Macaca mulatta: one gene and its partners. The main gene of each other region encodes a partner of the protein of the gene in region 2 in a complex. Links are inferred from orthologs where the notes say so. Each region holds a gene or a part of one and is shown on either strand. Other genes may lie near its edges.

Evidence for each region.
Region 1: HTATSF1 (region 2) and DDX46 share a complex: the UniProt entries of both Homo sapiens proteins name them as parts of the 17S U2 SnRNP complex. The link is inferred for Macaca mulatta from reciprocal best matches to the Homo sapiens genes HTATSF1 and DDX46.
Region 3: HTATSF1 (region 2) and SF3B4 share a complex: the UniProt entries of both Homo sapiens proteins name them as parts of the 17S U2 SnRNP complex. The link is inferred for Macaca mulatta from reciprocal best matches to the Homo sapiens genes HTATSF1 and SF3B4.

What each region holds. Positions count from the first base shown.
Region 1 is NC_133411.1:143,673,177-143,677,452, reverse strand, and holds the start of DDX46 (probable ATP-dependent RNA helicase DDX46), read right to left. Parts: upstream 2,892-4,276; 5' UTR 2,781-2,891; coding exon 2,764-2,780; intron 1-2,763. UniProt on the Homo sapiens protein: Component of the 17S U2 SnRNP complex of the spliceosome, a large ribonucleoprotein complex that removes introns from transcribed pre-mRNAs.
Region 2 is NC_133426.1:142,836,366-142,839,455, reverse strand, and holds the end of HTATSF1 (17S U2 SnRNP complex component HTATSF1), read right to left. Parts: intron 2,842-3,090; coding exon 2,704-2,841; intron 2,119-2,703; coding exon 916-2,118; 3' UTR 586-915; downstream 1-585. UniProt on the Homo sapiens protein: Component of the 17S U2 SnRNP complex of the spliceosome, a large ribonucleoprotein complex that removes introns from transcribed pre-mRNAs.
Region 3 is NC_133406.1:117,227,124-117,231,458, reverse strand, and holds the start of SF3B4 (splicing factor 3B subunit 4), read right to left. Parts: upstream 2,892-4,335; 5' UTR 2,840-2,891; coding exon 2,806-2,839; intron 2,374-2,805; coding exon 2,245-2,373; intron 2,007-2,244; coding exon 1,464-2,006; intron 1,135-1,463; coding exon 928-1,134; intron 1-927. Other genes in the region: MTMR11 (myotubularin-related protein 11), read right to left, coding at 4,219-4,335. UniProt on the Homo sapiens protein: Component of the 17S U2 SnRNP complex of the spliceosome, a large ribonucleoprotein complex that removes introns from transcribed pre-mRNAs.

The DNA of each region.
Region 1 (4,276 bases), on a different chromosome or scaffold from region 2:
CAAGAGAGAAATCACTCAGTTGCCATTTACTAAGATGGGAAGGCTGAGGGAGAAATAGATCCAGGGAGAAGGTGGATCAGAATATTAGGTATCCAAGTGGAGATACATAGTATGTAGTTGAAATATTAGCCTGGAGTTCAAGGAAGAGGTTTCTCTAGAAATATAAACTGGACAGCCATCAGTGTACAAAGGCTATTTATTTAAAGCTATATAAATAAGATCACTAGGAGATGAGTGCACCTAATTATCTTTCAAGCACCTCAAGTTCAACTTGTAGAAACCCAAACTTGTTACGCTTCCCTCCCCAAACCATTAATCATACCAACTTCTGGTCACTAGGCTCAAAACATTAGTTGTAAATATTTTTCTCTTGCTCTCATTCGATACAATAAATAAAACACCAAATGGCTGAGCACAGCGGCTCATGCCTATAATCCCAGCACTTTGGGAGGCCGAGGTGGGCAGAGAGCTTGAGCTCAGGAGTTGAGACCAGCCTGGGCAACATGGTGAAACCCAGTCTCTACAAAAAAATACAAAAATTAGCAGTGTGGTGGCACACGCTTGTAGTTCCAGCTACTCGGGAGGCTGAGGTAGGAGGATCTCTTGAACCTAGGAAACATAGGTTGCAGTGAGCCAAGATTGTTTCAATGCACTCCAGCCTGGGCGACAGAGCAAGTCCCTGTCTCAAAAACAAAAAAAAACACCAAGTAATACCAATTTCACCTCTGTAATTCCCTTCACATTATATCACCTCCACAGAGTTCCAACTATCACTATTCTATATCAGACTTATCTAACTAGGAGATTCTTAAAGACTTGGTCTTTCTGTTTCTATTCCCTTTTCCATTAAATCTTACTCATTGCTGCTAAGGAGAATTCTGATTCTGTTACACCCTTTTTACTCAAAATCTTCAAAGGTTCACAAACAAATTGCTATCTTCAAAATCTACAATCGGCCGGGCGCGGTGGCTCAAGCCTGTAATCCCAGCACTTTGGGAGGCCGAGACGGGCGAATCACGAGGTCAGGAGATCGAGACCATCCTGGTTAATACGGTGAAACCCCGTCTCTACTGAAAAGTACAAAAAACTAGCCGGGCGAGGTGGCGGGCGCCTGTAGTCCCAGCTACTTGGGAGGCTGAGGCAGGAGAATGGCGTGAACCCGGGAGGCGGAGCTTGCAGTGAGCTGAGATCTGGCCACTGCACTCCGGCCTGGGCGACAGAGCGAGACTCCGTCTCAAAAAATAAAAACAAAAAAACAAAATCTACAATCCACCCACCTTCTGGACCCAAGTCCTATTCAGGACCCACCTCCTACTTCTCAAAAAAGATAAAAACCCTTCATGAAACCTATATCTGTAGAAAAATTGGGCTTTTTAGCTATTTCTCTAACACCCTGAGCCTTCCCACCTCTGGGCCTTTCATGATTCCCTGAACAAACCTAGAGCACAGGCCATGCACAGCAGAGAGGTAAAGGAGAAGGCTGAAGGGCTAGAATGCATCTTCTTGTGAAGGGCCTTGAAGGCTGTCACAGAGTTCATCTTGGAAGCAGTAGGAACCAATGGAGACTAAGTCAGGGGCATGACATGTTCTTATCTCTACTTCAGAAGTGGCACTCTGGCTGTAGTGTGAGGGATCTAACAATTAGGAGAGCAACAAAGGAAGACAATCAATTCAGAGAATAATCAATTTAAAACAGGTGTAGTAGTCTGGACAATAAACAATTAGGGCCTCAATTAAGTCAGGGACAGCCAGAATGGGGAAAGGATGTAGAAACTAACAGGCTGTGGGTAGTGAGAGAGAAAAAACGAGTCAAATAAATATCACTTCCAGATTTCTGGGCTGGGCAGCCTTCAAGAGATTTAAAACACCGTTACAGGAATTTTCTGTAGTTAAAGAAATATTCTTTATCTTCATCCAGGTGATTACACGGTTTACATACTTGCTAAATTTCATCAAGTTTTACCCTTACGTTTTGTCCATTTCCCTGACTGTTAATTTTACCTCAACAAAGAACTGTTAGCATTAAAAACAAAAGCCTTCATTGTTCCTACACATAAAATATCTCTCACTCATTGCTAAATACATAGCAAATAGTCATTTTTAACATAAAATTCTCAAGGTTCCTAACAATCTATCAACAATCTAAAGTTGTGATGAGATCTCATAGTTCTAATAAGAGCTCACAGTCCATAACTTCAAAGGACAGAAAAGCAGGTAACAAAGAAATACGAAATCTATTTGCGAAGTAAATGCCCACGCAACAAGTATTTATCGTAGCCCAGTAAAAGCCTAGTCGTGTACAGTGCTGTCGATGCGGTAAGAATGTCTGCCCACAAGCTACTTTCATGTAACTTGGGAAAAGACCATAAGCGCACAAAGAACTAAAATATAGAATGATGGGAGTCGAGGAAACGTTGGAAATGCGAAGTAATAAGCAATCCAACTGGGATTACTTCTAACTGAAGTAATCAGGGCAGGCTCCCTTGAAGTGGCGGGATGTGGTGCCCAATCACTAACGTCCTGGAGGGTTGTTCCCGCTCCAGGGTTTCGAACCTTCTGATAGTAGTCCAGGAGAAGCCGTCGCTGGCCCAAGCACAACCATTCCCTCAGCCGAGGTCCCCCAGCCCTTCCAATGCCCGCGGGGCAGCGTTGGCCGCACGTGGGGCCGCGCCAGGCCTGGCCGGGCGGCCACCTCAACTCCCGCCTCTTCTCACGACCCCAAGAAGCCGTTCGCCCGCTAGCCCGCTCGGTGCTCTGCCTCACCGTGACTCCCGACCCATGCTGCCGACCGCGGGAATGCTGGTGCCCTTGAGTACCACGCGCAGGCGAACGGGACAAACAAGGAGACTGCGCTGCCCTCAGCGCCCGGCAAAGATCCGCGCTAAGCACTAGCCACTGCTACACCGGCGGCGGCCATCCCAGCGCGGCCAACGAAAACAGGACGTGCTGGCGCCGGCAGCCGAAGGAAGAGAAAAGCCGACCGGAAGCTGCCGCTCTTCCACAGCGCCCCCGCTCGACTGGAGGGCGCACAGCGCCGGCCTCCTCGAAAGATGATGGCTTGGCCCCGACTTCCCGGCCCCAGCGCCCGGCTGATTAGTGCGATGGAGCGTAGCGACTCAGCCTTGCCGGCCCGGGAGGATGTTTCGCGCCAGAGCCAAAGAGGCGTCTTGGGCAGGCTGATGTCTGCCTTAATTTGCGCTACATAATGCGGCAACTTTCTCCATACACGCTCTTTATTCATGTGTACATTCTCTCATTTATGTGTTGTCATATGCCAGGCTTCTGCTAGATCCTGGGTAGCTCAGTCTAGCGGGGGAAATAGAGATGACTAAGCTAGCGCAGTGGCTCACGCCTGAAATCCCAGCACTTTGGGAGGCTGAGGCGGGAGGATAGCTTGAGCCCAGGAATTCAAGACCTGGGCAACGTAGCCACCGTCTCTGCAAAGAAAATAATAATAATGATAGACTTGACTAAAAACACAAGCTGATGTAATACGGCAAGGAGAGTCCACCATTGGAGAGGGATTCAGAAAAAACGTTTCCTGGGGAAGTGAACTTTGAGGTGAGATTTGAAGACCGAGTAGGTGTTAACCTAGCAGAGAACAAAGAGCTAAAAATACTTTGGTGAAAGATTAGTTCTCAACATTCTCTCTCTGGGAAGCTTAAAATAAAATAAAAAACACAAAAAAGGGCCACGCATGGTGGCTCATGCCTATAGTCCCAGCTCCTTGGGAGGCCGAGGCAGGAGGATGGCTTGAGCCCAGGAGTTCAAGACCAACCTGTGCAACTTAGTGAGACCCTCTACAGAAAATAAGCAAAATAATTAGCCAGGTGTGCTGGCACGCCTGTGGTTCTAGCTACTTGGGAGGCTGAGGTGGGAGGATCATTTGAGCTGGGGAGGCTGAGGCAAGATTACTGGAGCCCAGGAGTTTGAGGCTGCAGTGAGCTATGATCACTCCAACCTGGATAGCAGAGAGAAATCTCATCTCTAAAATATTAATAAATAAAATAGAAGCCTGGGTTCCACCCCTATGTTCTGATTTAATTGGCCTGGAGTGCTTCTTGTGCATTAGGAATTTTTAAGCTTCCCAGGTAATTCTGAAGTACAGTCAAGATTGAGAACATTATTCAAGAGTTTCGGCACCAAAAACTGTATATGTATTGTGAATGACTAGTCTCATAGAACACACACAGAAATGTTGAGTTGTTTTTGCGGGAAGCTATAATGGAGTTGGAGAAAGGCTCACATTTTTACTTTACTTGCCTCTGTACTATTT
Region 2 (3,090 bases):
ACATCAAAAGTAAATTCATCAATACTGAATTTGGAAAGCATAATCAAGAAAGACCCACAATTTTATTGGGACTACACAACTTTGCACAGTGCTAGGCACTAAGATTCTAAAAAAACGAACAACTGAAGCATGCATGAAGTTCTTCAACTTCAGGGCATCCATGAACCTCCCCATTTTTTTCTGGGAAGAGGTCCTCTAACTTGAATTAACTTCTAAAGGGGCCCAAGGAGGCTAACAGTACAAGGCAGAATTCTAATCTGGTTCTCTAGATTTTTAATAATAATGGGAGCTGTAGACCACAGGAAATTCACTTTTGCACATCTGAGAGTCAATTTTAATGGAAAGAGGGTAGAAAACAAACAAGAGTTAATTTGCAAGGGCTGGGCAGAAAAAGCAAATCCAGAGGGTTGTTTTCTGAGTTTAGGAACATGTTCTGGTTTATAGAGAGGAAATGGAGACATATGTGCTACTACCAGCGGGAAGCAAGGAGACTACAAAGGGATTCTTCAAGTCCTCAGAAAAGCCAACCGTCAGTATAAATAAAGCGGTATCAAGAATTTACAATGCAATTTACCTCAAGTCCAATTTTCAGTTTCTGCGTATTATCAACTTTTTATTGATGAATATCACAAACTTCAATCAATGCTTTTAAAAATATTATTCTGCATGCATTTAACAAATCTGACAAAAGAACAAGTATCCAGTTTACTTGCATTGTAACTATGACATTTTAACTAAACAATCAATTAACATATATTTAAAACCATTAGGTACAGGTAACAATGAAAAACTTCAATGCTTTAATCTGATGGCATCCTACCACTATGCACATGTTCATGTAACACTACTAGTAATTACCCTGAAGCACAGGCAAATGTAGATGGAGGACTCTCCCTAAAAAGCAAGTTTAAGGGATTAAATATCATCATCATCATCGCTACTGAGAATAAAGCTGCTGCCAGTGGATAGGGGCCCTTCTTCAACACTCCCAAAACCACCCAAAGTCCCCCTCTCATCAGAATCATCAAACAACTTCTCATTGGAATCTTCCTCCTCATCAAACAACTTCTCATTGGAATCATCATCTTCGAACAACTTTTCGTCAGCATCTTCAACTTCCTTTCCGTCTGCATCTTCATCTTCCTTTTCATCTGACTCTTCAAACAGCTTTTCATCTGCATCACCTTCTTCCTCCTTTTTACCAGCAGCTTCAAGCCCCTTTTCATCTGCATATTCTTCATCCTCTTTCTCATCGGACTCATCATCAAATACTTTTTCATATGTATCATCCTCTTCTTCCTTTTCATCTGAATCTTCGTCAAACTCTCTCTCAGAGCCTTCCTCATCTAACACTTTTTCAGAGCCGTCATCTTCAAATTCAGAGTTTTCGGAGTCATTTTCCTCTAACTCGTTGTCAAGAACATTTTCATGAAGCTCTTTTTCAGAGCCTTCCTCGTCCAAATCTTTCTCGAGACCATTTTCTTCAAATTCTCTTTCGGAGCCATCTTCAGACTGTTTTTCAGAGCAGTCTTCGTCAGACTCTTTCTCTGAGTCATCTTCTTCGGACTCTTTTGTGGGGCCAGCCTCCTCTTCAGATTCCTTGTTGGGGTCATCTTCAGATTCCTTTGCGAGGCCATTCTCTTCACAATCATTTTTGAGTGCCTTCTTTTTAGACTCTTTTTTAGGACTACCCTCTTCAGATCCTCTTACGGGATTGCCTTCTTCAGACTCTTTTTGGGGGCAGCCACCTTCGAACCCTCTTTTGGGGCAGCCCTCTTCAGATTCTTTTGCAGGGACGCCTTCTTCGGCTTCTTTTTCGGGGCTACTTTCTTTAGCATTGTTTTCAAAAGCACCTTCTTCAAATTCTCCCCCATCTTCTGTCTTTTCAAACTTCTTCTCATCTATAGGTTCTTCAAACGCCATTCCAGTTGCAGTTTCTTGAGCATTCATTTTAGATGTGCTGGGGTGCTCTGAAAAATGCCTTGCTCTAGAAGGCCCTGCCCTTTCGGAAGCAGAGACAGAATCTGAACGCCTAAGGCCTCTGTTGGCCTCCGGAGCATTGAGGAAAGCCTCCCATCCTCTCAGCCTTTCCTCCCTTTCTCTTGAGGTTTCCTCCACCTGTGGATAAATGGAGACTGCCATTAAAATAAGTTTTAGGCAAAAGGTTACTTTTCTGAACATATCTAATATTGATGAAACAACCTTAATTTTATAAAGCATCTCTTCTTAGGAAAGCAATACCCTGTCTTCAGTTTTCAAAACTTTACATCTTGATTTACTAGAGTTGACCTTAAATAAGATCACTTGAATAAAGGCCAAATATCACAGTACTGCAGAAATGTCTCATCTCTTAAAAAGTTAATATTTGAGCTCTGTCCATACTTCACAGCATACAAAGGAAGAGTAACATTTGGTTGAATGTGTTCTTTTCTTATCACTATTCTGAACAAGCCTCAAACTTTCAGACTTATAAACTGAAAAACTCAAATAGTTCTTTATCTTCTGAATGCAAAATATTATTTAAAAGAAGCACTGTAAATAATAAAGAGGAAGAGTAAAAAATTAAAACATATAAATAAATAAAAAGAAAAGAAGCATTGTTACATTAAATAGGTTAAACCAAACCCAAAATTTAGATCTGAAGGATCAGTATTTGTTGGTAATGAAACAACGTGTGTGTCCCTGACAAGCTGCAGAATTTACCTGATAATCTGTAGTCCCATCCCATGCCTGGGCAGTGATTTGACGGCCACCAAACCATCTTCCATCCAGAGTTTGAATACAATAATCAGCTTCCTCTGGATCCCGAAAGGACACAGAGGCCACACCATCTGGGTGCCTCTAGAAAGACAAGAAAGAAAAAAAAGGAATGAACGGTAAGATTAAAAATAAAACACATACATTTCACAAAGTAGGTAAGTAGTAGTGTTCTCTCTGATACTCTGAAGTAAAAGACTTTATGTATGAAGTCTTTCTTCCCTTTTATCCCAGCCAGTCACATGCAGTCAGCTGCTTCTTTACCTTAATCTTACCTAGCAAGAACCAAGCACAATGTCCTTGGAAATGTTTCTGCTGACATCCCTGTCTAAT
Region 3 (4,335 bases), on a different chromosome or scaffold from region 2:
TAAAAGGGAGCAACAGAGTCATTTTGAGCAAGTGTGTGCACATCTGTGTTTTAAAAAACCTACTCTGTGAAAGTAGATCGAAGTTAGGGAAAACTGGAGTCCAAGTGGAAGGAGATTACTACAATAAATTAAGTGTTAAATAATGAGGGAATGAGAGACTGAACTAGGGCACTGGCCATGGGGAGAGATGCCACTGATATTAAATAAGACTTGGTATTAAGAGTGGGGTGATAGGGAGCAGTCAAACATCACTCTCAGATTCATGAATTAAGCACCTGAAAAAAAAGACTGCTAGAGAAAGAATGGGTTTGAAGGAGAGGGACAGAAAAATGACGCTATCTATTAAGCAGCAGCATTAAAGCATTAAGGATCCGGAATGTCAACAGCTATGGACTAGAGATACAGATCTAGGAGGCATCAGTATATGCTCAATTAAAACTATAGATATATGCAGAAAAGAGAAACAAGCACAAAAATCTAGGCACAAGTAGACAAGAGTCTATCATGGTAGCTGAGATTAAGGAGTCAGAGGGGTGGAGGATCTAGAAAAGCAAAAGCAAAAAGAGACGAGAATTTCAAACAGGAGGACACGACTAGTTTCAAGTACATCAGAGGTCAAACTAGATAAGGAGGAGAAGTGTCCCTGAGATTTGGCAATTAGGTCACCACTTTGAGCTGGAGTCAGAGAAGAGAATGGAACTAAAGGTTAAAGAAATAAAAACCAGCAAGTATAGTCTTCTTGTCAGAAAAACTTAAGAAATGGATACAGGGAGGTGGATGTTAGAGAGTATTTTGTATGTTTTTATAATAGAATGTCTGAAGGAAAGGAAACTCTGAAACTGTTACTGTTGAGGAACAAAGGGCAGCAGGGTGAGAGGTAACAGAGATGCTCTACCAAGCTCTTCCCTCCCAACAAAGCACACCTACCTGGATGGGGCATCCCACCTGGTGGGAATGGGTGAGGATGTGAGTGTCCATGACCAGGATGTCCTGCCCCTGGGGTTCCTGCCGATGGGGGGCCATGTCCTGCAGCTCCAGGAGGCATAGGTGGTGGGGGCATGGCTGGGGGTATCCCAGGTGGGAGGGCTCCAGGAGGTGGCACTGGGGGTGGGAAGGAGCCAGGAGGAGGCATGCCTATAGAGGAAATGGAAAAAGGAAAAGTTAATGGTAGTGAGGAGAAAATGTCTTTAAAGAGCCTGTCCTGATCTGGCCTCTCTGGGCAGGGTGAGCTCTTTCCCCCTCCTCCCAGTGCTCTAAAATCAAAAGCAATGTTAGAAAAGTCAACCAACTTCACCCTCCTAAAGAAACCCAACAACTTTCTTCTCCACCACTACCATCACCCCTCAGTCCTCTTCCCATCACTCACTGACTCCATGTCCCATCCCCCTTTCAGGCTCTTTTTTTCTTCCTCCTGACTCTCTCCCCCAACCTTAAGACAAACAAATTTTAACCAAAAGCTTTACCTGGTGGAGGAAGCCCAGACCCCAATGATGATACCACAGGATTGGGGGCAGAGGGTGGAGGAGGTGCATCTGCAAACAGCTGATGAGGGCGGTCAGCCTGGGAGAGCGGGTTCTGAGCTGCCAGAAGTCGTTCGGCTGCTGAGCCATGGCGCTCACCCTTGGAGTCCTTCTTGAAGGCATAAGATACGGTGATAGGGCGGTTACAGAGGTACTGCCCATTCATGGCTTCAATTGCTGCATCCGAAGCATCAAATGAAGCAAAATTAATAAAGGCATAACCTTTGGAGTTGCCTGTGTCAGGGTCCCGCATAATCTTGGGGGTTTGTAAGATGACCCCAAAAGCGCTGAAAGTATCATAAAGCAACTTCTCATCAATCTCAGGGTCCAGGTTCCCAATGAAAATGTTGGCCCCTACATCCAGGTTTTTGTTGTGGGCTGATGCTTTGTTCACCCGTATTGGCTTCCCATAGAGTTTGATCATGTTCATGATCTTAATGGCATAGTCAGCATCTTCCTCACTCAAGAATTCCACAAAGCCATAGCCTGGAGAAGTGGAGAAGAGGAGGTTAACAACATAAGAGATTGAAAATGGGGTAAAACTCATCTACCCTCTAATCACAAAGAACAAGAAAGAAACAATCTCACTTAAGAATGGTTCCAGAAATAAACTGAACAGAGGCTTAAAAGAAAGAAATACTTTAGGTTGCTCATGTTATTCCAAAACAGTTGTGAATACTGCCGGGACCCTCCGGAAGCAAATTGCCCCTTGTCATGTACTCACCTTGGTGCTGGCCAGTGACTCTATCCTTTGGCATGTGGGTGTTGACTACTGGTCCAGCCTGGAGAAACAGTTCCCACAGCAGTGGTTCACTAACCTTCTCATCCAGGCCCCCCACGTACACAGTGGCATCTGAAGGGAGGGAGCAGAAAGTTAGAGCAAGGGTGAGAGTATAACATGAAAGAAGGAGGTGATGGAAACATGAAGATGGAACCCAACCGGGGGAACTGGGGACGCGGGTAGGGGACAGGAGCAAAAAAAAAAAGTTAAACCCTTAAACTTCTCTCTCCAGGACTTCAGGAATCCTCTGAAGTCTAATTTAGTATTCTGAGTGGATTTTTTTGTTTTTTTGAGTGAGAACTCAGCAGGGGATTGGACGTAAGTATCACACCCACAGGCCTCAGCCAGCACCTGGCCACCCCGCCCCCAGGAGGCACGGGGCCGGTCTCGCGCCCTCTGGGGAATGGATGAGTCCAGTCTCCCACCCCTGCAGAGGCACTTCTGGCTGTAGTAGGGGCCTCCTAGCCACGCTGAGCCCATTCCAGACTTTCCCCCTCCAGTTACCCTGGTTCCGCTCGGAGATCGGCCCGGCAGCCATGGCGAAAGAGCTCCCGCCGTCTCCCAGCAGCGGTTCCGCCTTCTGACCTCAGCACGACTTCCACTTCCGGGGCGAAGGAGGACGTAGCGCTGGGCGGAGCCGCGGAAGAGGAGGGGCCTGGAAGCGGCTGCAGCCATTTTAGGAGCCTCCAAGACTTAACTCGGGTTGGGCGGTGGAGTCCTCGGCACCCGCGCAGAGGTGCTGCTGCTAGTGGTCTTAGCGAGGAGGGCGGAACGGAAACGCTCAGACCGTCTTAATGCACTGCTAGACTTGAAAGAATCACACTGCTCCCAAAAATGTAAATTCGAAAGCTAAAAGAACAAAAACTTCAGTTTTCATGTATTTTGTAGCCAGTGATGATGTTTTGTTGTCCAGAGAAGGATGTGCTGAAGAGTCCCCCCAACCCGAGGACTTGGCTGCTTTCAGGCGCAGAGGGAACCCTCCATCTCGCCTGCAACCTTCTTGCAGATTTGGCCTCAACAGCCCTGATTTGGGCTGGAGGTATTTGGTTTTCCCTCGGGGAGGAGACTGCGAAATGTCTGAGCTGGAGTGACGTCTGCGCTCATCTCGTCGTAATTGCATGGGGAGGGTGAGGGCTGCTCCAAGGTGGTGTGTGACCACAGGTGAGGGGTGGATAGGATCGGAGCTCAGAGACTTCAGTCTGGATCTCTAGAACAATCTGGCCCCATCTGCCTCTAAATGGGAGACACACACAGAATCCTTTCCCCAAACTGCACTTGAATTCTGCAGAGTCTCACCAAATCCAGTTCCCCTATTTCCTTAGCAATAATACAGTAGATGCCTTCCTCTCTTGGATCATACCCACCTTTTACCCACCACTTTCCTACCTAGGAGAATCCTTTATTCAAACACAAGAAACAATGCCAGTAATGTGTATAAATACTATGCTTTAATGAGCCCCTTAAATAGAAAATTCCGCTACAAAAATACAGAGGAGACAGGGTGTTTCCTGTATCCGCCTCATTCCCATAGAAAACTATAAGGGAAGAAATAGAAGTTGGAATTAAAGCAGCAGCAAGGCGAGGTGAGAATGCGATCTGTAGGCCATCTTGTTGGGACTGATGAACAGCATCTCTGATCTCACGATTTAACATCTGGTTATCCAGAAGGGATGGAACTGGTCTAAAAAAACCGATCAATTTCTGGATTGTTTTTGTTTCTTAATCCTTCAAATGACAAGAAACAAAAATATCCGTAGGAACTAAGCAAGACAGGACAAGAGTTGGAGCAGTTAACACCACCATCTGCAGCAGAAACTCAGACCTTCTTAGTGAACTTAAGGGCTGGAGTGTGAAAGCTGAGGCTGCAAGTCCAGAAACAAAAAAAAAAAAAAAAAAAGGATTAGACAGAACCGTCCTCTACCCCAGATCCCCCTCTGCCCTGCCTTTGAGAATGCCCACAATTTCAGTGGGATTGAGAATGGTATGTGGATCTCTTTTCTTGGAGTGAACTTCAGGAGATATTCTTGGTGTCCA